4 linked regions of the Macaca mulatta genome follow. The protein of the gene in region 1 purifies or fractionates together with the protein of each later gene. This does not show direct contact. Links are inferred from orthologs where the notes say so. Each region holds a gene or a part of one and is shown in the gene's direction. Other genes may lie near its edges.

The links.
Region 2: the proteins of MED9 (region 1) and POLR2C purify together in Homo sapiens (affinity purification with mass spectrometry; 3 studies listed by BioGRID and IntAct, with this or other methods). This does not show direct contact. The link is inferred for Macaca mulatta from reciprocal best matches to the Homo sapiens genes MED9 and POLR2C.
Region 3: the proteins of MED9 (region 1) and MED19 purify together in Homo sapiens (affinity purification with mass spectrometry; 6 studies listed by BioGRID and IntAct, counting the BioPlex papers as one, with this or other methods). This does not show direct contact. The link is inferred for Macaca mulatta from reciprocal best matches to the Homo sapiens genes MED9 and MED19.
Region 4: the proteins of MED9 (region 1) and MED7 purify together in Homo sapiens (affinity purification with mass spectrometry; 5 studies listed by BioGRID and IntAct, counting the BioPlex papers as one, with this or other methods). This does not show direct contact. The link is inferred for Macaca mulatta from reciprocal best matches to the Homo sapiens genes MED9 and MED7.

The regions. Positions count from the first base shown.
Region 1 is NC_133421.1:19,030,663-19,038,161, forward strand, and holds the start of MED9 (mediator of RNA polymerase II transcription subunit 9), read left to right. Parts: upstream 1-2,478; 5' UTR 2,479-2,510; coding exon 2,511-2,734; intron 2,735-7,499.
Region 2 is NC_133425.1:53,058,516-53,064,939, forward strand, and holds the start of POLR2C (DNA-directed RNA polymerase II subunit RPB3), read left to right. Parts: upstream 1-1,441; 5' UTR 1,442-1,494; coding exon 1,495-1,580; intron 1,581-1,789; coding exon 1,790-1,839; intron 1,840-4,693; coding exon 4,694-4,762; intron 4,763-4,908; coding exon 4,909-4,961; intron 4,962-6,424. UniProt on the Homo sapiens protein: Core component of RNA polymerase II (Pol II), a DNA-dependent RNA polymerase which synthesizes mRNA precursors and many functional non-coding RNAs using the four ribonucleoside triphosphates as substrates.
Region 3 is NC_133419.1:15,681,785-15,688,247, forward strand, and holds the start of MED19 (mediator of RNA polymerase II transcription subunit 19), read left to right. Parts: upstream 1-1,480; 5' UTR 1,481-1,513; coding exon 1,514-1,730; intron 1,731-6,463. Other genes in the region: TMX2 (thioredoxin-related transmembrane protein 2), read right to left, coding at 889-1,077. UniProt on the Homo sapiens protein: Component of the Mediator complex, a coactivator involved in the regulated transcription of nearly all RNA polymerase II-dependent genes.
Region 4 is NC_133411.1:166,005,581-166,012,103, reverse strand, and holds the start of MED7 (mediator of RNA polymerase II transcription subunit 7), read left to right. Parts: upstream 1-1,540; 5' UTR 1,541-1,599; intron 1,600-4,964; 5' UTR 4,965-4,981; coding exon 4,982-5,680; 3' UTR 5,681-6,523. UniProt on the Homo sapiens protein: Component of the Mediator complex, a coactivator involved in the regulated transcription of nearly all RNA polymerase II-dependent genes.

The DNA.
Region 1 (7,499 bases):
TGGGGCGAAGTTTCCTTCACTACAATACATTCTCCTTACATATCAATGGAGTGTCTGTCTTTCCTGACTTTTAACAGAGCAGGTTATAAACAGACACACATTTGTTGCAGCAATTTCAGCTTTAATGAAACCAGCACAGGCAGTATTTTTCTGATATCCGCTTGCAACATTATGAAGTCAGCTTTACTCTTTGCCACTAATTATATTAACTATTTTTAGGGCAAACTGTCAATGCACCATACTGGTTCATGCTTCCTAGGTTTTCAATTTATTTTCTTTAGCCATATCTATTTATACCTCAAGTGTTTTTCTTTTAAGAGTCATCCTCATTTTCCTGACAACGATATAGTTGTGGCTCATAATTAAGTTATAAAACATGCTGGGAGGCCAACGATGACGTGTGATTGCCATGGGGGATATTATTGATGAATATTGGATTGGTTTTTGAATTCTGAATTCAAACCCACTTTAACATTTTGAATCATAAAGTTACAGAACTGGTAGGGACCCGAAGTCTCTTTAGCGTTGGTTAAGATCATAGGCTTGGAGTCAGCAAGCAGCGTGGACCCTTAGGCTGGGATCTTAACCATTGTAAGTCTTAGTTTTCTTGTCTAGAAAATGGGGATCCTGACATCCATGTTCTAGACCTCTTTTTGTGGATTGAGACAGTGACTGTAACTCTGTTCCCTGTATCTACTTTTATTCCATGGTAGTTGTGGTAATTACTATTATTATTATTATTACTATTACTATATTATCTTTCCCCAGATGACTCTAAGGGTATACAGTCTCTTCAAGCACATCTGGCCCTATTCTAACAGGCCTTTTTCTCCTCCATGCTCTACCAGAACTCCTGGACTTTCCCTTAGTTGGAGAGGTTCATGGTTAGAAGGAAGAAAACCCTGCAACCCACTCCCTCCCTTTGCTCTCTCTCTGGGGCATCGTGGGCAGCTCTTGCTGCAGAGAGCTGTGCTGAGGCCCTTTACCTGTACAGCGGACCCTCCAACAGCACTTCTGTCTATGGTCCTACTCGGCAAGGATCTGCCTCCACACAGCCCTCCCAATGTGCCTGAAAATATCAGCAGTGATCCTTTCCCTGGCCACCTTGCTCTTAAGGCTCCTGTTCATAGTACTATGTGGATGTGGACCTCCTCGCCTCTCTGCACTGCCCATGATGGTGGATTACAGCAGAATGGGCTCGCCAGTTGACAGCTTTCCCCACTCATGTCTTCTAACTAGCTAAGCTTAGGGTGGCTGTCCCCATTGCGCAGAAAATTGCTACTTAGCCCTCATAGCAAACTTGTTTTGAGAAGCATAACCATAAACCCATCTTTGGCCTACGATCCTAGGGAGTCCTCATGCCAACAAGACCTTTTGGGGTCAGCCACGAATGTGAAGTTAGAATGCAGTTTAGGCTCTGCCATGACTCTGAACTAAATATGATTTTAGGGGTGAGGAAACTGGGACCTAGGGGTTTGAGGAACTGGCCCGAAGGTATGGAGAGTACCTGACTTTGTCGTTCTTCCAGGATATGATATTTATTCCTGGCACGAATCCCCTCTACCTTGTATTGAAAGCAAGGACAGCCTCCCTGCAACCACACATTACACCTGGCCATCCAGCAGGTGCATACTAAAAGTGTGTTGAGTTGAATTATCAGACTCTCAGCAGCCATGCAGCACTGAAGGGACCGCAATCCCTTTGCCTCTGCGTCCTTAGGGCTAAGCAGGAGGTCTCGATGTCTCGCACTGTGGGCCGGGCCGGGTTTGGTGCCTCAGCCAGCAGGTAAGTGCTGTCTACGCCTCCTGCAGGTCCAGTGGTTCCTCTCCAGACTTGGGTGCACTGGGCCAGGCTGCGCCTTACTGACCTCAAGGCTTCCTGTGTTTGTGGCTTTGGGGCCCTCTTCATCGTGTGAATAGGAATAAGAAGATTGTTATTTCTGGCCAGGTGCGGTGGCTTGCGCCTGTAATCTCAGCACTTTGGGAGGCCGAGGAGGGCGGATCACCTGAGGTGGGGCGTTCGAAACCATCAACATGAAGAAACCCCGTCTCTACTAATAATACAAAATTAGCCGGGCGTGGTGGTGTATGCCTGTAATCCCAGCTACTTGGGAGGCTGAGGGAGGAGAATCATTTGAACCCGGGAGGCGGAGGTTGCTTTGAGCCGAGATCACGCCACTGCACTCCAGCCTGGGCAACAAGAGCGAAACTCCGTCTCAAAAAAAAAAATTGTTATTTCTGAAATAAATCCCCTATTTCTCACTATTTAATAATATTTAAATAATTTTGGGTCTTGACTCAACCCAAAACCAGGCACCCCAGACCCACCCACGGCCCGTCGCCTAGCAACAGTCTCCCCACCCCGCCTCCGCCCCGTTGCCAGCCGAGTGCCCAGTGCGCATGCTCAGAGCCTTCCTCCACACTGCGCCCCTGCAGGGCGCGCGGTGGTGACGTATAGAGTTCGCGACGCTGTCGGCGACCCGACCTCTGGGTTAACCTAACCCCGGAGCCATGGCCTCTGCTGGGGTGGCAGCCGGGCGACAGGCGGAGGATGCATTGCCGCCAACGTCCGACCAGCCGCTGCCTGACACCAAGCCGCTGCCGCCCCCTCAGCCGCCGCCTGTCCCTGCGCCTCAGCCGCAGCAGTCGCCGGCGCCACGGCCTCAGTCACCTGCCCGCGCGAGGGAGGAAGAGAACTACTCCTTTTTACCTTTGGTTCACAGCATCATCAAATGGTAAGAACCTAGGAGAGGACCAGGCCCCATACTCCCTCCAGCTTCTCGTCTCAGCCGTTTCAGAGCTTCAAGAGGCCTTGGCGCTCTAGGGCACGCCCCCGTTTCGCAGATGGGGAAACTCAGACCCAGAGCGGGAAGAGGCCTTTCCCAAGACCACAGAGACATTCCATGAGTTAAGCAAACGATTTGAGCCCCGAGAGGTGCGATATCCTTAAGAATGAAGCCAGCTTAGAGACTACATACAGACTCTTGTCCAGCGGCTCAAACGTGCATCCCATCGATCTTGAGCAAATTAAATCTCTTTAAGTCTCAGTTTTCTCACCTTTAATGTTAGTAATACTCACTTTAGTTCCTTATTTCAACAGACTCAACAGATAAGCATCATCTTCCCTGTGTGGGACACTGCCAAGTGCTATGGGATGGACACAGTAAAAGGGGCATAGAAGGAAAAAAAAAGACATGATTGGGAATAACCCATAATTCAAAAAGATTGAGAGGGGAGCGGTGGCGATGGGAAATATTAGACTAAGCAAAAACACAGAAGTTGCCTGAGATGATTAGACCCACCTGTACTGACTTTGTTCCAACAGTACCAAAGGAGATAATTGTCATCCTTTTGGCCAGCCTTTAGGGTAGCCTGAGTTTTCAAAGTGACTCTGTAAAGGAAAAACCAAAAACAAAAGCACGAAAGTCTTACTGATCCCAGTGTTTGCCTAAATTATTATTTTTTTTTTTGAGACAGGGTCTCGCTCTGTCACCCGGACTGGAGTACAGTGGCGTGATCTCGTCTCACTGCAGCCTCAACCTCCAGGCCTCAAGCCATCCTCCCACCTCAGCCTCCCAAGTAACCGGAACCACAGGCATGAGCCACAGCACCCAGCGAATTTTTGTACTTTTTGTAGAGATGGAATTTAGTCGTGTTGCCTAGGCTGTAAATTATTTTCATTATGTTACTTCACTCTATATCCACGTGATAGTAGGTGTAAACCCTTAGGCTTATAACTCTTATTCAGCCATTAAAGACCACAAAGTAAATTAAAAGAAAATTACGAATCCAGTAACATTCAGGTGAACATGAATGTGCTCTTCACTGTTTTACTGAAACGGAATTGTTACAACGTGAAGGTCTTGACCGTTAGTGGCCCACCCACTTTTGAGTTTAAGCAAACTAGATTCACTTGCTGTGGGATGACCTGATGCTCTTCTGCCACTTTTCAAATAACTACAAAGGCTTTGTTCTCACATTAGACCCTGGCTTCATTTGGCTTCACTTGGTGTTTACTGTTTATAAGGGCCGGGCGTGGTGTCTCATGCCTGTAATCCAAGCACTTTGGGAGGCCAAGGCAGGCGGATCACGAGGTCAGGAGTTTGAGACCAGCCTGGCCAACATGGTGAAACCCTGTCTCTTACTAAAAACAAAAATTAGCCAGGTGTGGTGGTGGGTGCCCGTAATCCCAGCTAATCGGGAGGCTGAGGCAGGAGAATCACTTGAACCTGGGAGGTGGAGGTTGTATTGAGCCGAGATCATGCCGTTGCACTCCAGCCTGGGCAACAAGAGCAAGACTCTGTCTCAAAAATAAATAAATAAATAAATAAATTTAAAAAAATGTTTCTGGGATAAGACAGCCTGTTCAGTTTTTGTGAGCCTGTGATAATGATCACAGACAGAAATACGTATGGAGCCCCTATAATCCCAGGGCAGTGCCGGATTATAAAGGGTTTAGTCAGATTAACCCCAGTTTACTGGTTTTAAGAAAAATGTGGAAAAAGGAAAACACAAAATGTACACATTCACAAAGACAGCTCTTGAACCCCCCAAGAGTATATTCTTGAGCCCTGGTAAAGCAGCTGGATTGGGCTGGCCTTAAAGATGTAGTAGTAAGTTATACTACAGAGAAGAGGCTTTGAAGTTAGACAGTCCTGAGTTCAAATCTGTATACTGACATTTTCATGCCTTCTAATATTGATATAAATGTCTAACCTTTCTAGGCCATAATCTTCTTATCTCTAATATGTCCATAGTGGACCTCAAAAGAGAGGTTTAGATTATGTAATAGCTCTATAATGTGCTGACTGGGTGACCTGGGCAAGTAGCTTAGCTTCTCTGAGCCTGTTTTTCTCTTATGAAATGGGAATGCTTATGTCATAGGATTGTTGGGAGATGTACTCAAGAGCGTACCTGTGAAACCTAGTGGGCTGATCACATGTGCTTGTCTCTGTTTCGTCTAAAGGGACACAGAAGGGACTTAAAAAAAAAATACATAAAACCTTCAGATGCAGTGGCTCATGCCTGTAATCCCAACACTTTAGGAGGCTGAGGTGAGCTGGTCGCTTGAGCCTGGGAGTTCAAGACCAGCCTGGGCAACATGGCAAAACCCCATCCCTACAAAAAATACAAAAAAAAAAAAATTAGCCAGGCGTGGTGTGTGCCTGCAGTCCTGGCTACTTGGAAGGCTGAAGTGGGAGGATCACTTGAACCCAGATCATGCCACTGTACTTTAGCAAGGGTGACAGAACGAGACCCTATCTCAAAAATAAAAAGCATAAAACCGAAAAGAATAGGACAGGAGATGATCGCTACAAAGTGAATGACCAGTGCTAATTCATCTACCAACTCCTAAGCAGCTGGCTTGTTAAACATGGCCTACCCCCAGATCTCAGGAACTCTAGTGCAAGGACCCCCTGGAAATAGGGGTGAAGGTGGGTCTAAGAACAGGATGATTACTTGAAGTCTGTTTAAGAAGCAGTCCTGTCCCACCTCCCAGCCCCTCCAAGCGGCCAGGTGACTACCCTTCTTCTAAATTGGTGGGTGGTTAAAAGGTTACTCTCCCAAGATTTATTCTTAGGAACAAATAAGCCAGAGAGTACCTGGACTGGGGGACAACAGGCACACTGCAGGGGTAGGTAGGGGGAATCATAACTGAAAAGAGGGATTAAGAGAAAGTTCGCAGTCTGAAGAGAGACCCCACTCGAGCCTTCCCCCACCTGGCTTCTAGATTGGCAGCCAAAGAGAGTGGAAGTGCCCTCTCTATCGTGTGTGACCAATTAAGAGAAAAGACATTGGAAAAAAAAAAAAAAAAGCCTAGTCAATTAATTCTGAGAAAATGAACAAGCATCACTCATTTGCAGAGCTTCCACTAAGCCTTTTAATGTTTTATTCTTAAACATATGAGTGGATGACCAAGGCCACTAAGCATAGGAAGAAACCCCCTGGTAAGAAAGACACGGGTCAGGTGCGGTGCCTCATGTCTGTCTGCAAGCCCAGCACTTGGGGACGCTGAGATGGGAGGATAGCTTGAACCCAGGGAGCTGAGGCTACAGTGAGCCATGATCACACTGCTACATTTCAGCCTGGGTGACATAGACTCTGTCTCAAAGAAGAAAGAAAGAGAGAAAGAGAGGAAAAAAGAGAAAGACAAGACAGAAGAGCAGAAAAAGCCACTTGGAGGGAACAATAGCTGCAAAGGAATGGAGTGGTTCTGCAGCTGTAAATATGAGAAGAGGCTAGGATCCAACCTGAAAACCTTCAGTATAGGCGTGTCTTTTGAGTTTATAGGCTAATGAGGGAGGAATAAGGGCAGAGGAGGAAGGGAGAGGAGACCACGTGAAGCCTGGGGGAGACAGAAGGCTTGGTGAGATTGATGCCAACATGAGTCTTCAATTAGGAAAGGGAGGCAGGAGGAAGGGTGGTATAGGAAAAACATGTAAGGACACGAAGCCAAGAAATAGCATCTACTCATGGGAGTCAGCTTCTAGCTTGGTGGTGCTGAGCATACATCCAAGGCAGGAAGAGGGGACTGGGGAGGAGGGAAGAGCCAGGAAACAGTGCAGGGGTCTTCTGAGGGATGGGGAGCTAGTGCAACTGTCAGGCTGGAAGCCAGTCAAGACACAGTCGTGGCGGGCGGAGATGAGGGCTAGGATCGTGTCCAGTCCACCCAGGTGGTGCTCTCTGGCCCTGGGTCCCTTCCTTTCCTATAACTTCCCCAGTGATCCTTTTGTTATTTTATTTTTTTTTTTTTTTGGAGACGGAGTCTCGCTCTGTCGCCCAGGCTGGAGTGCAGTGGCCGGATCTCAGCTCACTGCAAGCTCCGCCTCCCGGGTCTACGCCATTCTCCTGCCTCAGCCTCCCGAGTAGCTGGGACTACAGGCGCCCGCCACCTCGCCTGGCTAGTTTTTTTGTATTTTTTAGTAGAGACGGGGTTTCACTGTGTTAGCCAGGATGGTCTCGAACTCCTGACCTCGTGATCCGCCCGTCTCGGCCTCCCAAAGTGCTGGGATTACAGGCTTGAGCCACCGCGCCCGGCTCTTTTGTTATTTTTTTTACTTCTTGCACAGGGGATGAGTAAGGAGGTAAAACCTGAAGTAGTGAATTTAGCCTTTCTTGTTCTCATAAGTAATTCAGAATTTTTGAAAAATTATTTAATAAAAGTAACAACTGCAAGTTTAGAAGTACAGAGAAATGGAAAATGGAAAAAGGGTTCCTTCCCCCAAGTCCCCTCACCTGTAGTAACTGCTATTAATACTTTCCTAAGTTCCTTCTGGGAATTACATATGAATGGAATTTCAAACATGTATATGTACTTGACTTTTTTCACTGATTAGTCTATTTTGGCCACCTTTCCATACTGCACATAAAGATCTACCTCATTAAGGCAGCTGCAGAAAATTGCGCCTTGTGGATGCAACATGACTGATGTAACTGGTTTTCTGTTGATGGGCTTCTAGGTGGTTTTCTCATTCTTGCTATGACCAGCAGTGCTAGGGT
Region 2 (6,424 bases), on another chromosome or scaffold:
AATAATAAATATGTTTGAAGTAGTTTCCTATTGTGTAGTTAGTTTGCTTATCAACCATGATAGGTATCCAAGACCCCAGAGGGAGACAGAGGTGTTATGGAAGAGGCTTGAGGCTGGCAGCCAGGAGACCTGTGTTCTGGCGCTGCCACTGCCTAGTACACAGTAGTAGTTATGGTACCTCTGCGTTTCTGGGCTCAAGTCTTCCCATCAGTAAAATAGGGGTAACAGAAGCCTTCCCACAGACCATTAGCTCTCTTGGCTGCCCTTGTCTGACGATTTCAGTGGTACATTCTTTAGCCCCAGTAATTTTCTCAGCCTGTACACTGGCTGGGTTCCCTTTGCATGTCTGGTTAGCTCTGTTTTCTGCTTTGCTCTCTTCTGCCTAAGTCAGCTAAATATTATTGGGGGAAGTCAGCAACTAATTGAATTTCAGATCTCTTGTGGGTCTTCCACTGGATCTTTTTTGTACCTCTCTTCATTCCTTGTATCTTTTGACATCCTGTGAAGTTTTTGCAGTAGCTGTTCCAGTTTTCATTGCATTCTCCTTTTTCCTTCATAGCATCCATCTCACACTCAGCAGACAACCATAATTCTTAATTTACAGAGATGACACAGGCTATGGAGCAGGGTTCCATCAGTGCCCACCCTCTGTCTCAGGAAGAGGTGTCAGTCTTTGCAAAGGCAAACTCTTTATCTGGTTACTCTTCTCCCACCTCTTAAATGTAGCTCCTGTCAAGTTCTATTTTAGAGCTTTTGTCTGTTGGAGCAGCCGCCACTTTGTTTGAGGCCCATTGAGAGTTTGAGACTCTCTCCAGTCTGTTTAGGGGACTTCAGTAGTTGTTGGTTGAGCATGCACCCCACATGGTGCCCACTGCGAGGCACTGGAGATGCAGAGACAAAGAGCTCCCACTCACCCACCGCAGCTACACAGACTGCAGAGGAAGCATTAGGTTAAAGAATATTATATCTTTTCCTGAAGTTTTCAGAAGTGCATGGTCCATACTTGAGACTGCAAGGGAAAGGGTATTTACTTATAATTCAGGTATACTTTCCTAAAATATGCATTCATATTAAAATATACTTTTGTTTTTCTGTAGATGTACAAGTTCTTTTTAAGGGCTTCATGATATTCTACGTGTGTATACTTCACCAGGTCTCTTATCAGTGGACAGTACAAACAGTACTACCATGAATGTCCCTGCACTCGTATCTTTGTTTACAACTGCAAGTGTTTCTGCAGTATGAGTTCTTAGAAATGTTACTGTTAAGTCGAGGACGTACGCGTGTTTTGCCAAACTACCCTCCGAGATAGCTGAATCCGGTACATTTTAAAGCAGGAGGCGGTAGAAGACGCTCGGCGGTTCCGGCCTCCGAGCAGCAGGCGGCGCTGTGAGCCGTCTTCGCGGAGGCCACGCTGACTGACTTCCGGTGTCGGCGGTGGCGCAGGCGCAGTCACCGCGGAGCTGACGCGGAGGCTGGCGGCCACGGGGAGCGATGCCGTACGCCAACCAGCCCACCGTGCGGATCACTGAGCTCACTGACGAGAATGTGAAGTTCATCATCGAGAACACCGACCTGGCGTAAGGCTGCCGAGGGAAGAGGCTGGCGGCTCTGGGGCGCCGGGAGGCCCAAGCCGGGGCCCCGGGGGCAGGGAGCGGGGGTGGAGTGGGGGTGATGTCCTTCCAGAGCTGCCCCCCTGCGCCAGGGCTTTAGCTTTGGGAGCCTGCGGCGCGGGCCCAGCCTGTCGAGGCTGCAGCGCCTTCACGCCTCTTGGCTTTTCGTCTTTCAGGGTGGCCAATTCGATTCGGAGGGTCTTCATCGCTGAGGTGCCCATAATAGGTAAGCGACCCCCCTTCCTCGTTCCCGGGCCCACGGGTTCCTGCCCCGCTCTCCACCCACACTCCCTGGGGCTCCTTCCAGTCCTTGGTTCGGGCTGAGGGTGGTAGTGCTGAGAAAAGTGCATTGCTGGAGACTTGACCATACCCTGTGCCCTTGGCCCAGTGGCCGCCTCCCTGGCACCCACGGACCACTTAGGTCCACTGTTGTCCTGCGTATGCATTGCTGAGAAGCATGGGTTTAACCGTGTGCAGACTTGGGTTCAAATACTGTTTTCACTACTATTGTCACAAAAGTTTTTTAAATGTTTTCAACTTTTATTTTGGATTCAGGGGGGTACATTGGTGCAGGGTTGTTGCCTGGGTATAGTGCGTGATGCTGAGGTTTGGGATATGAATGATCCTTTCACCCAGGTAGTGAGCGTAGTACCCAATAGGTAGTTTTTTACTCCTAGCCCCACTGCCTCCCTCCCTGCTCTAGTAGTCACCAGTGTGTCTATATTGTCATCTTTATGTCTATGCGTGCCCAGTTTTAACTCCCATGCGGTGTTTGGTTTTCTGTTCCTGTGTTAATTCTCTTAGGATAATGGCTTCCAGGCCGGGCTCACGCCTGTAATCCCAGCACTTTGGGAGGCCGAGGCTGAGGAACACCTGAGGCCAGGAGTTCGAGACCAGCCTGGCCAACATGGGAAAACCTCGTCTCTACTAAAAATACAAAAATTAGCCGGGTGTGGTGGTGCACACCTGTAATCCCAGCTACTGGGGAGGCTGAGGCAGAACTGATTGAACCCGGAAGGTGGAGGTTGCATTGAGCTGAGATCATGCCTCTTACGCTCTAGCGTGCGCAACAGAGTTGAGACTCCTTCTCAAACAAAAGAGAATAAAAAAGAGGATAGTGGCTTCCAGCCGCGTCCATGTTGCTGCAGAGGACATTATTTCGTTCTTTTTAATGGCTGCATCAGTTACTATTTTTGAGAAACTTGGGCAAGTTATTAAACTTCTGCGTACTTCAGTTTCCTCATCTGTAACATTCAGCCACTAATGATCTTTATCAGGGTAATGTTAAGGATTAAGTGAGGTAATCCATATAAGTGCTTTATGTTTAGTGAGTGCTCAGTGCTGGTAGATGGCTTTTTTATTAATCTATTCCTTCAACAGCATTTATGGAGCATGTAAGTGGCAGGCATGGTGGTAAGCTCTGGGAATACAAAGCTGTAGAGAACATGGTTTTTGCCCTCATGGAGTCCACAGTGAGGTTGCAGGGGGAGAGATGAATCCACAGACAACACTAAAGCAAGGTAGACTGATCAGTAGTTCAGGAGAAGCATAGCTATGGTGCAGTTGGCTCTTAGAGGAGGGAACATCAATTTCTGGTCTGGTTCCAGCCACTTTGCTCCAGGTGCTTAATGCATTGATTATACTTGTATGAAATACTTCAAGCATTTCCGAGAGTCAGGTCCAGAGAGTTTGGGTTAGGCAAAAGAAATATGTGGCATCAAATATTTAGACTTTTAAGGAAATAAGCAAGCCAAATGATTAGGCAAGAGAACATTGTAGTTTATCCACTACCAACCCCGGCCCCCCAGTCACTTCTTCAATTCAGCTTGGAGTGCTGGACCTCCCCCTGACTAATCACTTCATGTCTCTGGACCTCAGTTTCGTCAAGAGTCAGGTGAGGGAGTTGTACTTCATGATGCAGCCCTGCCATTCTGAGTCTAAATGCCTCTTTCCCCACAAATTCAGTTCTACAAATAATGTTGAGCACCCAAGCTAGGAATACAAAGACATCCCAGCACCTGCCTGAAGGAATTTCTGAAGCTTGGGGTATAGACATAACATACACAAATGTGACACAAGGCACACTATGACAAGTGTCTTCAGGGAAGTCTGAAGAGAGTTTCATGAGAGAGGAGGTGAAAGAGAGGGAGTGCCACACCTGTAGCATAGAGGGCAGGCAAGGCTTAGTTTTTAGGAGGCACAGAGGATCTTAACCTGTACAGTGAGGAGGGGAAGGGTGTGCTGGAGGAAGGGGCCGGGGGATTAAAGAGGCAGAAAAGCTTGGGTCAGGGTTCTCTTAGTTGGCTTGGACTGGGGAAGCAATGGGAAGCATAGCAGGACAGAGTAGGTGGAGGCCTAGCATGTGGAGGTCCTCTTCCGACCTCTGTTCCTAGTGTCTGTGTCCCTCATTTGGCAGTTGGGCTCCAATGCCATTTGATTCCTGGATTTAGTTGGTTCCATGCAAATGTTTATGAATGAATAAATATGTGTTTAAGTCAAGCGTGTGTGATAGATAATACCGTCTTTACCTTCCTACCTGCTCATTGCTGCTAGGGATTGGGTTCTATATTTAGTATGCTTTGTGCGTTAAAGGAATTCAGTAAAAGTCTGTTGGTTGAATGTTTAAAAAGTGCTAAGTTGGGCAGTCCAGTCATTATATCCTAAAATATAGGTATGGCCCATAAGTCTGTGTTACTTCTGTGAGGTTTTCCCTGACTTTGAAGTGCTCAAATAGTTCATGTTCTTGGATTTGGTGGTGGCACAGGTAGCAGATTTAAGTGCTTCTCATGGAAATACTCAGCTCAAATAAACATGTTTCCACTCCCATGATATTCTCTGAGTCAGTGTTTTCTGTGAAGCAGGGAGCCCCCTGCGTTAAATCACCTGGGCAGGGAGGTGAGGTGTGTGGTGTGTGTGGGTCTTATTAAAATGCAAGTTCCTGGGCCCCACTCTAGTGCTGTGGAATCAGCCCAGCCTCTGCAGTTTAGTGTCAGGTGATTCCTAAATCTTGAGAACCACTGCATTAAGTCTCTAGGTAAATTTGATGGCTAAACTCCATGTCTGCTTCTTTCATTTTGTAGCCATTGACTGGGTTCAGATTGATGCCAATTCCTCAGTCCTTCATGATGAGTTCATCGCTCACAGGCTTGGTGAGTACTCCTTTTATTAGAAGGGAGGGTACTGTGCCTAGTGTCAGGAGGGGGCTTCCTTCCAGCCTCACCCCCCGGAGGCTTCTGGGTTCTCATTTTGGCTTGGCTGTTTGGTTTTCTTTAAAGTGCTTTTCTGTTTTTTACAGGATTAATTCCCCTCATTAGTGATGACATTGTGGACAAGCTGCAGTACTCCCGGGTATGCTGTGTGATTGGGTGGAATGTGAGGTTTGGTGGGGAGGCCTTGGGTCTCAAAGGGATTTTTCCTGACATTTGGCATCCAGCTTGAGTAGTATTGTAGGTCTGGAACAACAATGTGGAGATGTTGTCTAGAGCCTGGGCAGGCCTTGATCCTTGGTTCTGATGGGGCTTCAGATTGATTAGCATGCAGAACATCAGGAAATGTTGTTAGCCAGCTCCACCAGATTGCCTGTTTACAGTGGAGGTTCTTCCTTCCAAAGCGTCTCTTCCCAGTAGCAGGGGCCTTAGGATGCTACAGGAGTCAACAGAAGGTTGGGGTAGGCAAGGAGCAGAGGGAATGGGAGCTGTCTCATAAGAGCAGCTTCTGGGGAACTAGTCCTGGTGTCTGCAGATTCGTGCTGTCCCCTCACTCGTAAGTGATGCTGCTTAAACATGGCCACACTCTTACCCCCTTCCTCCTGGTCGTGTTTGCTCCCTGATGGCATGTTAACAGGCCTTCATAGTTTGGAGAGAGTGGGATAGTAGTAGGTTACCTTCATCCTTTCACTAGGCTGCATTACATAGCAGCGTAAGACTACTCCCTCTTGATGGCTTTGGGTGATCCAGAATCAGTCCATTTTCTAATATTCTCAAGGGCCATGTCATTTTTGTGATGGCTATGATATATCTTATAAATATGTATTTTTTTAAAAGAAATATTCGGCTGCATGCGGTGGCTCACGCCTGTAATCCCAGCACTGTGGGAGGCCAAGGCGGGTGGATCACAAGGTCAGGAGATCGAGACCATCCTGGCTAACACAGTGAAACCCCATCTCTACTAAAAATACAAAAAATTAGCCGAGTGTGGTGGCACGTGCCTGTAGTCCCAGTTACTTGGGAAGCTGAGGCAGGAGAATGGCGTGAACCCAGGAGGCAGAGCTTGCAGTGAGCTGAGATCGCACCACTGCACTCCAGCCTGGGTGACAGAGCAAGACTCCGTCTCAAGAAAAAAAAAAAAATTCAAGCATAGAAAAGCATGGAGCTAGTGTAATAAATACCCATGCTTCCACCTAATACTAAGTTGTCACATTTTAACATTTTGCCCTATTTGTTTCAGATCTCCAGATTTTTGTTTTTTAAGAAATAAAACATAGATATTGGTGGGGACGGTTGTACAACCAATTAAGAGCAATTTGGTGACATCTTACATAAAGAGATGCATGCTCTATCACCTAGCAGTTCCTTTCATTAAAATTTTTTCTAGTATTTATTGAACAAAGATGGCATGGTCTCTCTCTCTCTGGCTTTTTCTGAAAATCTGTAGAAAAGTTGAAAAACTAGAATAATAAATACCCTTTTACTTTTCACCTATAGTTACCAATTATTAATATTTTACATTTGCTTTATTTTTCATATGCATGTTGCTATTTTTGCTGAACTGTGTGAAAGTTGCAGACATCCTAACACTTCTAAATACTTCAG
Region 3 (6,463 bases), on another chromosome or scaffold:
ATTCTCCTTCAATTCCCTCATGCTATGCACGTTAAAATAAAATTTCTGTGCCTTTCTCCTATTAACGTGCCCTTTGTCGGCTGATTTTTCAACAAACCCTCAGAGAGCTAAGGGGAAGCTTTGCCTTGGCCCTTACATGCTATATAGCAGAGGGTAAAGTGCTTTAAGTTCATGTTCTGAGCAGTCCCTCCACCCATTCCAAGGAAGCACAGCAAGGAGCTTGGGACACTTCTCAAAGAAAGCCCAAAGATTTCTTTACAACTTATTTTTTACAATTCCTTTACAGTAGCCCCAAAATTTTATCCACTTTCGCATCCTCAGGATCAAGCAGAGTGCCTAGAGTGTACACTCTAGAAATGCTGATTGAATTAAGAAACGGCTGACAGTGTGTGCAGGTAGTGTGGCCACAAGAATAGTTTCAAGTCCCAGGCACTCATTAGTTGCATGACCTGGGGCAAGTCGCCTAAATATACCAAGATCCATTCCTTCACCAATGAAACAGGACTACTACTACTTGCCTTCCCTACCTTACTGGCTCCTCAGGAGGCTTTACATAATGAGCGGCACTGTAAGATGCTATACACGTATATGTACAGTTTTGACAGGGCTGTTTCTTAGTCTAAATGGTGAAATGGAAAGAAACCTGGACTCAACAGTCAGAAGCTGTTGGGCCGTTGTACAGGGCTACGACTAACAGGTTCCGTTTTCCCATATTAAACACAAAGTTTAGTCTCGACGATGTTTCGGACTCTGCACTTTACAGTCTGTTAAATCCGCTACAGGCTCGGAACCTCAGGTGTCCTCAGAAAGGTAAACCCCAGGGTTCCCAGATGCACCTGCAAGGGCAGGGACAGTCAAGGTCGCGGTACTGAGACGCGGGACGCTCACCCAGTCAAAGTCACACGGGTTACCGTCTTCGCGTTGGGTGGGCAAACCGTGGCAGAGTGGCGGCAGTTTCCTCACGAGTAGGAAGGCAGCAGAGAGCAGGGCCGACAGAAGGTAGTAAGGTTGGGCAAGCCATCGTGAAAGTCGCGGCACCGAATACACCAGAGCAATTAGAGGAGCCAAGACCGCCATCTTTTCGGCCGCAAGGGCCACTGCTCACCGGCGTCGTAGGTCCGGCCCCGCCTCCCCCACCATAGCGACTGCTATTGGGCTACATCTCAAACGTACGGCCTCTAAACCCGGATGTAGTTCTGTCAACGCTGTGGTATGTCAGAACCCAAAAAAGAACTTAATATCTTATTGGTTGGTCTAGCTGTCGCTTTATCAGCTTAAGTCATTTTATTGGACTGTAGCTAACGTAGCTAGCAGAAGACTCTAATAAGGTTAAATAGCACTTCCTGAACGTTCTCAGAGAGCGACGGAAGTAGTTGTTGAAACAAGGTAGGCGGTGCCTGAGGCATCCAATGACAAGCGGTTCCTTGAGAAAGAGGTGGGTATTCCTTAAAGGCATTGTCCAATGAAAATTACCAACGCCAGACACCGAGACAGCGCCGGGGCGGAGGGGACGATGGAGAATTTCACGGCGCTGTTCGGGGCTCAGGCTGACCCACCACCGCCCCCAACCGCACTAGGCTTCGGACCAGGAAAGCCTCCACCCCCGCCACCGCCTCCTCCGGGCGGGGGACCCGGCACGGCTCCGCCTCCCACCGCGGCCACGGCCCCTCCCGGCGCGGACAAGTCAGGAGCTGGCTGTGGCCCTTTTTACCTCATGAGGGAACTGCCAGGTGAGTACTCGGCCTTGCCAAAGCCAGCCAATCAAATCTTAGAGAGGAGGTGTTGGGCGTGGCTCTCAGCCGGCTAACGGAGGTGCGAGGTAACCTAGGCAACGCATACCCGGACTGTGGAGCCCTAAGTCGAAAGGGCTATTAGGATTCACAAGCAGAGGGATGAGTTGAATTCAACCAAAGGGATGAATGGCGGGGAGCGGGGTGGTGCATCTCCGTGACTGTCTTTTGCACCATGTCCAGGCTGTGTTCCTGACACTGGTTTATGTCTCCCTAAAAAATGATCTAGGGCTGGGCGCAGTGGCTCACGCCTGTAATCCCAACACTCTGGGAGACGGAGGCGGGCGAATCACCTCAGGTCAGGAGTTCGAGACCAGCCTGGCCAACATGATGCAACTCTGTCTGTACTAAAAACACAAAAATTACTTGGGCGTGGTGGCGTATACCTTTAATTCCAGCTACTCGGAACCCGGGAGGCGGAGGTTGCATTGAGCCGAGATTGCTCCACTGCACTCCAGCCTGGGCGATAGAATGAGACTCCGTCTCAAAACAAAAACAAACAAACAAAAAATCAAGAGTTTGAGTTTGGAACTCGAGAGGCCTGATTTAATATCTTTGGGGACCTAAAGTTTTAGTTACAAGTCTCCCACAGACTTGCTGTGGGTTTGGGGCAAGTTGCCACTCTTCCAAGATTTCTGCGTTTCCTGGTGTCATCAAAGAAGGGGTAAGAATCGAACCAAACTCTTTTCATTCAAAAAATTATTTTGTTGAGTACCTATGTACCAAGCACTTTTCTAAATGCTGGAGATACAGTTGTGAACAAGACTGACAAGATGCTTGCCTTTTTTGGAATGTACATTTCAGTGTAGGAGGCATTGTAAACAAGATAATGTCAGAGAGTGGTTAATGCTAGGAAGAGAAAACATTATAAAAAATTGAAGGTGGCCAGGCGCATTGCTCACGCCTGTAATCCCAGCGCTTGGGTAGGCTGAGGCAGGAGGATCCTTTGAGCCCAGGAGTTTGAGACCAGCCTGGGCAACATGGCGAGACCCAGTCTCTACAAAACATACAAGATTAGCCGGCCGTGGTAGTGCTTGCCTGTAGCCCCAGCTACTCAGGAGACTAAGGGAGGAGAATTGCTTGAACACAGGAGGTCCAGGCTGCAGTGAACCAAGATTGTGCCACTGCACTCCAGCCTAGGCAACAGATGAGACCCTGTCTCTTAAAAAAAAAATTGAGGGGCAGAACTACTTTAGCTAGAGTGGCCAGAGATGCTCTCTCCACATAGCTAAAATTTGAACTAAAATGTAAGCATAGACAAAGGGCCAGCCAGCTATGGACAGGAGGGAGAGATAATTCTAGATACAGGAAATGAGGTCAGAAACCCTGATGTGAGAAAAAGCTTAGAATATCTGAGGGACAGAAAATCAGTTGGACTCCAGTGAAGTGAACAAAAGGAAAGAGTGTTAGGAGAGAGATGAAGCTGGGAGAGTTAGGCAGAGGCTTTTATAAAGCAATAAAGGCATTTAGATTGTAAATACAAAAGGAAGCCATTTAAAACAATTTTTTATAGAGACAAGGTCTCACTGTGTCACCCAGGCTGGACTGCAGTGGTACAGTCATAGCTCACTGTAACCTCCAATTCCTAGGCGCATGCTGTCCTCCCACCTCAGCCTCCCAAGTAGCTAGGACTGCAGGCATGTGCCACCACAGTTGGCTAACTTAAAAATTTTTTGTAAAGACTGGGTCTTACTGTGTTGCCCAAGCTGGTCTTGAACTCCTGGCCAATGACAGTCCTCCCACCTTGGCCACCCAAAGTGCTAGGATTATAGGCCTGAGCCACTGTGCCCAGCCAAGGAAAGCCATTTTAACATAGGAACTTGGTCAAATGTACTTATTTAGAGAAGTAAATGGATACAGGGTGTTAGATGTAGAGCTGACAGGGTTGAAAAGCTGAATATAGAGCCAGGTGCTGTGGCTAACGCCAGTAATCCCAGCACTTTGGGAGGCTGAGGTGGGAGGACTGCTTGAGCCCAAAAGTTTGAGACCAGCCTGGGCAATATAATGAGACCCCATCTCTACAAAAAATAAAAGTAAATTAGCTAGGGATAGCAGCGTACACCTGTAGTCTCAGCTACTTAGGAAGCTGAGGTGGTAGAATCACTTGAGCCCAGGAAGTTGAGGCTGCAGTGAGCTGTGATTGTGCCACTGTGCTCCAGCTTAGATGATAGAGGAAGAAGCTGTCTCAGTTAAAAATACATATTGTATATAGAAGTGAAGGAGATAGAGGAATTGATGCCTTTTTAAGTTTTCAGCTTGAATAATTGGGTGTATGGGTACGAGACTTGGAAGATGAGGAAGGAACAAGTTTGAAGAGGTGGAAATCGAGTTGTTTTGGACATGTTTGGTCTCCAAGATGCTGCCTTTCTCTCTCTTTTTTTTTTTTTTTTTTTTTTCTCCTGAGACAGAGTTTTGCTCTTGTTGCGCAGGCTGGAGTGCAATGGCGCAATCTCGGCTCACTGAAACCTCCGCCTCCCAGGTTCAGGCGATTCTCCTGCCTCAGCCTCCCGAGTAGCTGGGATTACAGGCATGCGCCCCCACACCCAGCTAGTTTTTTATTTTTAGTAGAGACGAGGTTTCTCCCTGTTGGTCAGGCTGATCTCAAACTCCCAACCTCAGGTGATCCACCCACCTTGGCCTCCCAAAGTGCCAGGATTACAGGTGTGAGCCACCACGCCTGGCCTCCCAGATGCCTTTCATTGTCTCAAGTCTTAGTTCCGCATCATGACTTGAGGGAAGTAGCGACAGATATTGGTATGGTACTTCAAAGTTCACAACACATATGAAGTAGTATTTAATACTTAGAATAGCCCTTTGAGGTAGCATTATTATCTACATTTTATAATTGAAAAAACTGAAACATGGAGAAGTTGACATCCCTTTGATTAGTTAGTGGTTGATGTCCACCAGCAGTTTCCTTTAATCTTTCTTTTGCCTTCCCTATTCTGATTGTAGCTATTGGTATCAGTCAGTTGACAGATTGAATATCTGTTCTGGGCAAATGCTGGGTGTATGAGGAGGGTGAGATGGAGAGAGAGATTAGTAATGCTGGTCATTGCTTTTCAAGGAGATTAGTTAGGAATGTAAAATTTGTGGTTTAAGGATAGTGACTATATTTCCTGTCAACTCCATCTCATTTTGTGCTCATGCCTCACAACAGCAATTAACAATATCTTAGCCATCAATATTAAGAACTATCTAATGGTTTTCAAAGTGTGTTGCTATCCAAAATGACAGTAAGAATAAAATGTCACTTGAGCTAGACCTTGAATAATTCATGTTGGTGAAGAAAAATTAGGAAGAATTTTCCTAAAATGAAATAATGTGAGGGGTGTGTTTTTGAGGCGATAGGGAGATTCATTTGGACGGATCAGAAATTTTGCATAGAGGAGTAGTGGTTGATGAGGCCCCAAAGCTAAGTTGGAGTAAGATGTAATTAGCCTTGAGTGCCAGTCAAAAGGAATTTGAGTGTTCTCCTGAGGGCAAAAAGAAACCATTAAGATTTGTGAACCGAGGAGTACTGCTTTCCAAAAATATCTGGAACATGTGGGTGCCGTGGATTGAAATAGAGAAGCCATGAGTGATGTTGGCAAGTTTGGAATTTCAAAACGAAAAAAAATTTTTTTTTTTTTAATCTTGTTGGGCAGGGTGGTTCATGCCTGTGATCCTAGCACTTTGGGAGGCTGAGGCAGGCAGATTGTTTGAGTCTAGGAGTTCAAGACCAGTCTGGGCAACATAGGGAGACCCCTGTCTCTACAAAAAGTATAAAAATTAGGCCGGGCGCGGTGGCTCACGCCTGTAATCCCAGCACTTTGGGAGGCCGAGACGGGTGGATCACAAGGTCAGGAGATCGAGACCATCCTGGCTAACACGGTGAAACCCCGTCTCTACTAAAAAAAATACAAAAACCTAGCCGGGCAAGGTGGCGGGCGTCTGTAGTCCCAGCTACTCGGGAGGCTGAGGCAGGAGAATGGCGTGAACCCAGGAGGCAGAGCTTGCAGTGAGCTGAGATCCGGCCACTGCACTCCAGTCTGGGCGACAAAGCGAGACTCTGTCTCAACAACAACAACAAAAAAAATTAGCCCAGCATGGCAGTGTATACATGTAGTTCCAGCTACTTGGGAGGCTGAGGCAGGAAAATAGTTTGAGCCCAGGATGCAGAGATTACAGTGAGCCAAGATCGTGCCATTGCACTCCAGCCTGGGTGACAGAGCGATACTATCTCAAAAAATAAATAAATAAAAATAAAAAATAACCCTTGTAGAATAGTCAAAACTGGAATATGAACTCTCAAGTTTAGAAAAAACCCAGACTGCCTTCTCACCTGGGTCTTAAGGATAACCATCTGGACAGAGGAGAGCTGGCGGAGCAGGGGAAATTCAGAAGATTGTAATGGCAAGAGGCAGTGCCCAGAGTTATGAGGAGAGAGGCTGTGACATTGGGTCTCCTGCCATTACCCTTGCTCAGTCTTCTGAGTTGTTTGGTAGTAAAGGGAAGGAAAAGGGTGAAATAAGGCCTAGCAGTATAGAGCGAAAGTGTCTTGTTTATTTAATAAATATTTATTAAGCACCTAATGTGTGTACTGTGCTAGGCACTAGCGATACATGAATGAACAAGACATTGTCTGTGCCTCCAAGGAGCTTACAGTTCAGTACCTGTTTTTCTGAGTGAAT
Region 4 (6,523 bases), on another chromosome or scaffold:
CAAAAGGCTGGTATGGTAGTTTCGGTGGGGTATGGGAGAAAGGAGAAAAAGGTGATTCCTTAGATTGAACATTTGCAATTGAGTAAAGTGCAACGGGGTAAAGATGTCTGTCACCACTGGATATGAGGGTCTGAAGTGCAGAGGAAACGGTGTTCCAGGGCCTGCATGTATCTGGGTGATATCTGACTGAGAAGTGGTTGGAGAACTGAGTCCTGGGGCAATCCAAATAATCAAATGTGCCAAATGCTGCTGACAGAGGGAGTAAAACGAGGACTGGGAACAAGCATTGGAAGTCACGGGTGCAGGACATATTGGGGTCAGCAGTGAGGATGAATTTCTTCAGGAAATAAATTTATATGTGCGGGGGAATTAAAATGGGGGAGGCCGGGCTACGTGGTTCACGCCCGTAATTCCAGCACTTTGGGTGGCCAAGGCGGGCGGATCACTGTAGGTCAGGAGCTCGAGACCAGCCTCACCAACATGGTGAAACCCTGTCTCTACTAAAAATACAAAAAAAGGAAAAAAAAAAAAAAAATTAGCCGGGTGTGGTGGCACATGCCTGTAATCCCAGCTACTTGGGAGGCTGAGGCACGCGAATCGCTTGAACCCCGGAGACAGAGGTTGCAGCGAGCCGAAATCGCGCCACTGCACTCCAGCCTGGGCGAAAGACACTCCGTCTCAAAGAAAATAAATAAATAAATAAAACAAAATAAACCAACAAAAAACCCTGCATATCTATATTTTCGAATTTTTATGTAAGATGTCTTCATTGTATGGGTTCAATTAAAAAAGAAAAGACAAAAGGAATGGAACTACCAGCTGCGACTGTCAGCAGAAGAGTTGTAATGCGGGCAGCGGGTGGAACACACGAACAACCTTTGCTAGGTTTTCTTTGGGAGGTTATTTTCACGTCATAAATGTCTAAATTCATGGAAGTCTTACAAGAGCATGTTACATATTAAAATATAAGATTTTTTTTTTTTTTTTTGAGACGGAGTCTCGCTCTATTGCCCAGGCTGGAGTGCAGTGGCCGGATCTCAGCTCACTGCAAGCTCCGCCTCCCGGGTTCACGCCATTCTCCGGCCTCAGCCTCCCAAGTAGCTGGGACTACAGGCGCTCGCCACCTCGCCCGGCTAGTTTTTTGTATTTTTTTTTTAGTAGAGACGGGGTTTCACCGTGTTAGCCAGGATGGTCTCGATCTCCTGACCTCGTGATCCGCCCATCTCGGCCTCCCAAAGTGCTGGGATTACAGGCTTGAGCCACCGCGCCCGGCAAAATATAAGATTTTTTCTAGTCAATAAGGGGTCTATAAAAAATAAAGCAATAAGATGTCTTGTTTAATTTTATGCCTTAAAGAAACGAAGAAACAACCCTCACCTACTACTTTTAAAAGTCAGTGAAAGGGGTGGCGATGGCAGGAGTCGAATATACGCAGGCGCAATAGCGAGCGATCGGTCTGAGGCGGATCTAGAATCTCGTTAAAGGACAGCTCCTACAGCCAATCAAAGACAGAGTCGGTGGCTTCTTCCAGGAGGAGACCGGAAATTGGTTTCGGCTGCAGAGGGGGAAGGCGGCTACCAGTGTAAAGCCAGAGTTGAGGTGAGTGGGCGGCAACGGCTTGGGGCTCCCGCGTGTGTGCGTTTTTTTCTTCCGGACCCCGCGGTTTCCTCTGTGCTGGGCTGGGAACTGGGGAGGCATGGAGGAGTTCGGCCTCCGAAGACGCTCTCTCGTCTTTCTGTCCCGAGTCTCTCCGAGAGCGCGGCCTCCCCGCCGCTCGTGGAGGTCTCGGGATGGACAGCCTGGAGGAGGGGGCTCTTAGCGCTGCAGTCCCAGGGCTTCCTCCGTGTGGGGACGCCGAGCCGGAGTGGAGGTTGGGAGACGTGGTGTCTAGTCCCCTCGCCGCTGTTTTTCTAGGCTGTGTCGCCTTGGGCGAGTTATTTGCCCTTTCTGGCCCTTTGTAACATGAGAGTAGCCCTCCCTGCCCTTCCTTCTTCTGGGAGCAGTTGTGAAACAGCTGAGATACGGGGGCAGGCGAGGGCAGTAGATCCCAACCAAGCCTAATCGTCAGGTCCATCTGGAGAGGTTTTTAAAGCGACATACCAGGGCCCATTCACAGTGGACAGAATGAATCAAATCTCTGGGGCTGGGACCCTGGAATATCTGTCGTCTTCTGGTGAGGCGCCTTCTCCCCCAGAACAAACACTAGATGTTGGATCTTGAGTCTAAGAACCAGTTATGATGCTTGGCTCTGGTTTTATTAAAATAAGACTTCCATCGCCTTTGAAAAGTTCCATCTAGAGAGACAGTAGAGAAAAATATAATTTTTGTAATATGCAAGTTCTAATTGTACAATTAGATGCTTCACGGCTTAGAGATATAAGAGAGCTTGCCCTTTGGAGCTAAAGGGACCTGGGATAAGAATTCCTGTTGTACCATTTATTAACTTTTTGATCTGGGGCAACACTTCCCCTCATTGAGACTTGGGATCTTCACCTCTAAAATGAAATTGATAATAGAACTTAATTCATGGGACTCTGTGGTGGCTCACGCCTATAATCCCAGCACTTTGGGAGGCCGAGGTGGGCGGATCACTTGAGGTCGGGAGTTCCAGACCAGCCTGGCCAACATGGTGAAAACCTGTCTTTACCGAGAAATAAAAAATTAGCTGGGCGTGGTGGCACACACTTGTAGTCCCTAGCTACTCAGGAGGGTCATGCAGGTGAATCCCTTGAACCCGGGAGGCAGAGGTTGCGGTGAGCCCTGATCATACCACTGCCCTCCAGCGTGGGAGACAGATTGAGACCTTGTCTCAAAAAACAAAACAAACAACCTTAATTCATAGAATTGTTATGAAGATTATGTTAGAGAGGCCATAAAACAACAGTATCTGTCACGTAGTTGCCTTAGGAAAATGACAACCTAAGTACAGGAATGCACATCGTGTAGGAAAGTACAGAGCAGCACTCCTCACCTAAAAAGGTTTGAGTGGAATGAAACGTAAGGTGTCAAAAACTGTGTTTTGAAGTACCAGATCAATGTTAATTCCTTGATTTTGGTAATTGTGCTGTGGGTAGAAGAAAACATTCTTGTCCTGGGAAAACACATTGAAGTATTCAGGGGTGAAGGAATGAGAAACCAATAAAGCAAATGAAGGAAAATGTTAACATTTGGAGAATCTGAGTGAAGAATATGAAGTGTTCTTTGTATATTCATGCACTTTTTCTGTAATCTGAATTTATGTTATAAGTTTTAAAATGTTGGCTGGGAGTGGTGGCTCACACCTGTAGTCCCAGCACTTTGGGAGGCCAAGGCAGGAGGATTGCTTGACCTCAGGAGTTCAAAACCAGCCGGAGTAACATGGCAAAACTCTGTCTCTACAAAATATACAAAAATTAGCTGGGCGTGGTGACATTTGCCTCGTACTCCCAGCTGCTTGGGAGGTTGAGGTGGGAGGATGGCTTGAGCCTGGGAGGTCGAGGCTGCATCATCCTATGCACTACTGTGGCATGGTGGAAACTCAGGGCTGCACCACGCCTGCCCTTAGTACCTCACGAATTCTAAGTATAATATTGCTTCTAATAGAATACTTGCCCCACCTGATGTTAGAGGGTGTTATATCTTGAAACTTTGATAATACCAGTGTAAAGGAGCACTTCAGAATCTTCTCATTGGATGGTATATCTAGGCTTAAGGTAGAGTAAGTAGAGGTTATTATGGCCATAGAAGATACTGGGTTTGAACCTGGGGTTTGAAATTTCTGTGATAGTTGTAGGGAAGTTAATGTGTCCATACAGGCCGGGCGCGGTGGCTCACACCTGTAATCCCAGCACTTTGGGAGGCCAGGGTGGGCGGATCACCTGAGGTGGGGAATTAAGAGACCAATTTGGCCAACATGGCGAAATCCTGTCTCTACTAAAAATACAAAAATTAGCCGGGCATGGTGGTGTGCGCCTGTAATCCCAGCTACTTGGGAGGCTGAGGCAGGAGAATTGCTTGAGCCCAGGAGGCGGAGGTTGCAGTGAGCTGAGATCGCACCACTGCACTCCAGCCTGGGCATCAGAGCAAGACTCCGTCTCAAAAAAAAAAAAAAAAAAAAAAAAGTTAATGTGTCCATATAAAATTGCATAGTTTACTGTGACAAAAAGGATATGGAACTGAATCATTTCATTCAGGAACTTTGGATAATACCATGTCTTTAGGATTTAGCAGTGTTAATTTTGTCAGTGTTTATGAGAGATACAAGTAAGTGTTTGCTATTGGAAATCAATCTGTAACATAAAGCAAAAGTGATTCTGATATGAGATTGGGAGACAACGTGTAGTTTGGTTATGGAGGAGTAGAGAAATGGGGGCATAAATGGTGAAGGGTGTGGAATCCAGAAGATTTTCTTGTTTTTTTTTTGAGACAGATTTTCGCTCTGTCGCCCAGGCTGGAATGCAGTGGTACAGTCTCGGCTCACTGCAAGCTCCGCCTCCTGGGTTCACACCATTCTCCTGTCTCAGCCTCCTGAGTAACTGGGACTACAGGCACCCGCCACCATGCCCGGCTAATTTTTTTTGTCTTTTAGTAGAGACAGAGTTTCACCCTGTTAGCTAGGATGGTCTCGATCTCCTGACCCTGTGATCCGCCTGCCTCGGCCTCCCAAAGTGCTGGGATTACAGGTGTGAGCCATCGCACCCGGTGGAAGATTTTCTTTAGAGATCAGAAGATGCTACAGATTTTTTCATGCTGATGAAATTATTAGGGAGAGAATGGAAAATATGTGAATGGTTGAGAATATAATGCCTACTTAGAAAATATGGCAAACTTTACCTATCATAAATGTTAGTTTTAGAAACCAAGGAGATCATCTTGTCTTGGACCCCAAACTACTGGAAGAAAAGGAAGAAAATATTCTGTCTGTAGTTATGAAATGTAACAGGTTTGTTTTGTGGCTCTAATAAATCTTTGGTCTGTGTCCATAGGTTCTTGATAGTCCACAATGGGTGAACCACAGCAAGTAAGTGCACTTCCACCACCTCCAATGCAATATATCAAGGAATATACAGATGAAAATATTCAAGAAGGCTTAGCTCCCAAGCCTCCCCCTCCAATAAAAGATAGTTACATGATGTTTGGCAATCAGTTCCAATGCGATGATCTTATCATCCGCCCTTTGGAAAGTCAGGGCATCGAACGGCTTCATCCTATGCAGTTTGATCACAAAAAAGAACTGAGAAAACTTAATATGTCTATCCTTATTAATTTCTTGGACCTTTTAGATATTTTAATAAGGAGCCCTGGGAGTATAAAACGAGAAGAGAAACTAGAAGATCTTAAGCTGCTTTTTGTACACGTGCATCATCTTATAAATGAATACCGACCCCACCAAGCAAGAGAGACCTTGAGAGTCATGATGGAGGTCCAGAAACGTCAACGGCTTGAAACAGCTGAGAGGTTTCAAAAGCACCTAGAACGAGTAATTGAAATGATTCAGAATTGCTTGGCTTCTTTGCCTGATGATTTGCCTCATTCAGAAGCAGGAATGAGAGTAAAAACTGAACCAATGGATGCTGATGATAGCAACAATTGTACTGGACAGAATGAACAAAGAGAAAATTCAGGTCATAGGAGAGATCAGATTATAGAGAAAGATGCTGCCTTGTGTGTCCTAATTGATGAAATGAATGAAAGACCATGAAAGATGTTTATGTTTCTTTTTTCCTTTTGATAAATAGCCTCATATATTAGTTTATTTTCTTTTGGACAGTCTTAAGAGAGGTTTCAGTAAAAATGTAAACAGCTTTAATCTTGACTCCAACTTTTTCAATTATGAGATGTCATAGGCAGTAATTTCACTGTATAACAAGCATAGACAAATGAGTACCCCTGCACTAAGAATAATCACTTTAAAAAGCAAAGTGTTCACCGCTGTTGTATGGGACATTTCTATGTTTTGGAGTTGCAGTAAAACTTTGATGATAACCTCAGTAATAGCAAAAGTTTTCGTCTTTGAAAAGGGGATTTATCATTTGCTTTAAGAATGATAGAGGAATAATGGATATCAATCTATAAATGTAAAACTATGATATCTTTAAACTTATTCCATTAAAAATTTTGCTTAAGCTGCAAAAGGTAGTATAACATGTTAATAGAGAGGAGCCCAGAAGAATTATAAAACAGAAACTTTATTTTTTCCTCATGACTGCTCCTGTAAACCCACTATCTCAGTCTTTTCTCCCTATCCTGAATGGACTCTTGCAGGCAAGTCCCATGAATTGTTTTTATCACTCAGGTAATAAGTCCTTTGGCCATTTTAAGTTACAGACATTAATTTTAGTAATTAAGATGTCTATGTCATTAGCTACACATTTTCTTTAAAGCTAAGCCCAGACTTGCTTAAGTCCACAATGGGAAAGGGGTTTGACGGCAGAGACTGCTAGGTGTCTACCAGAGAGTCTTGTTCTTTGAAGATACGTTGCCAAGATGTGGCAACCCAACCAGGGACATTTCCGTACTGCCAGCATCTCTGTGAGAACATATG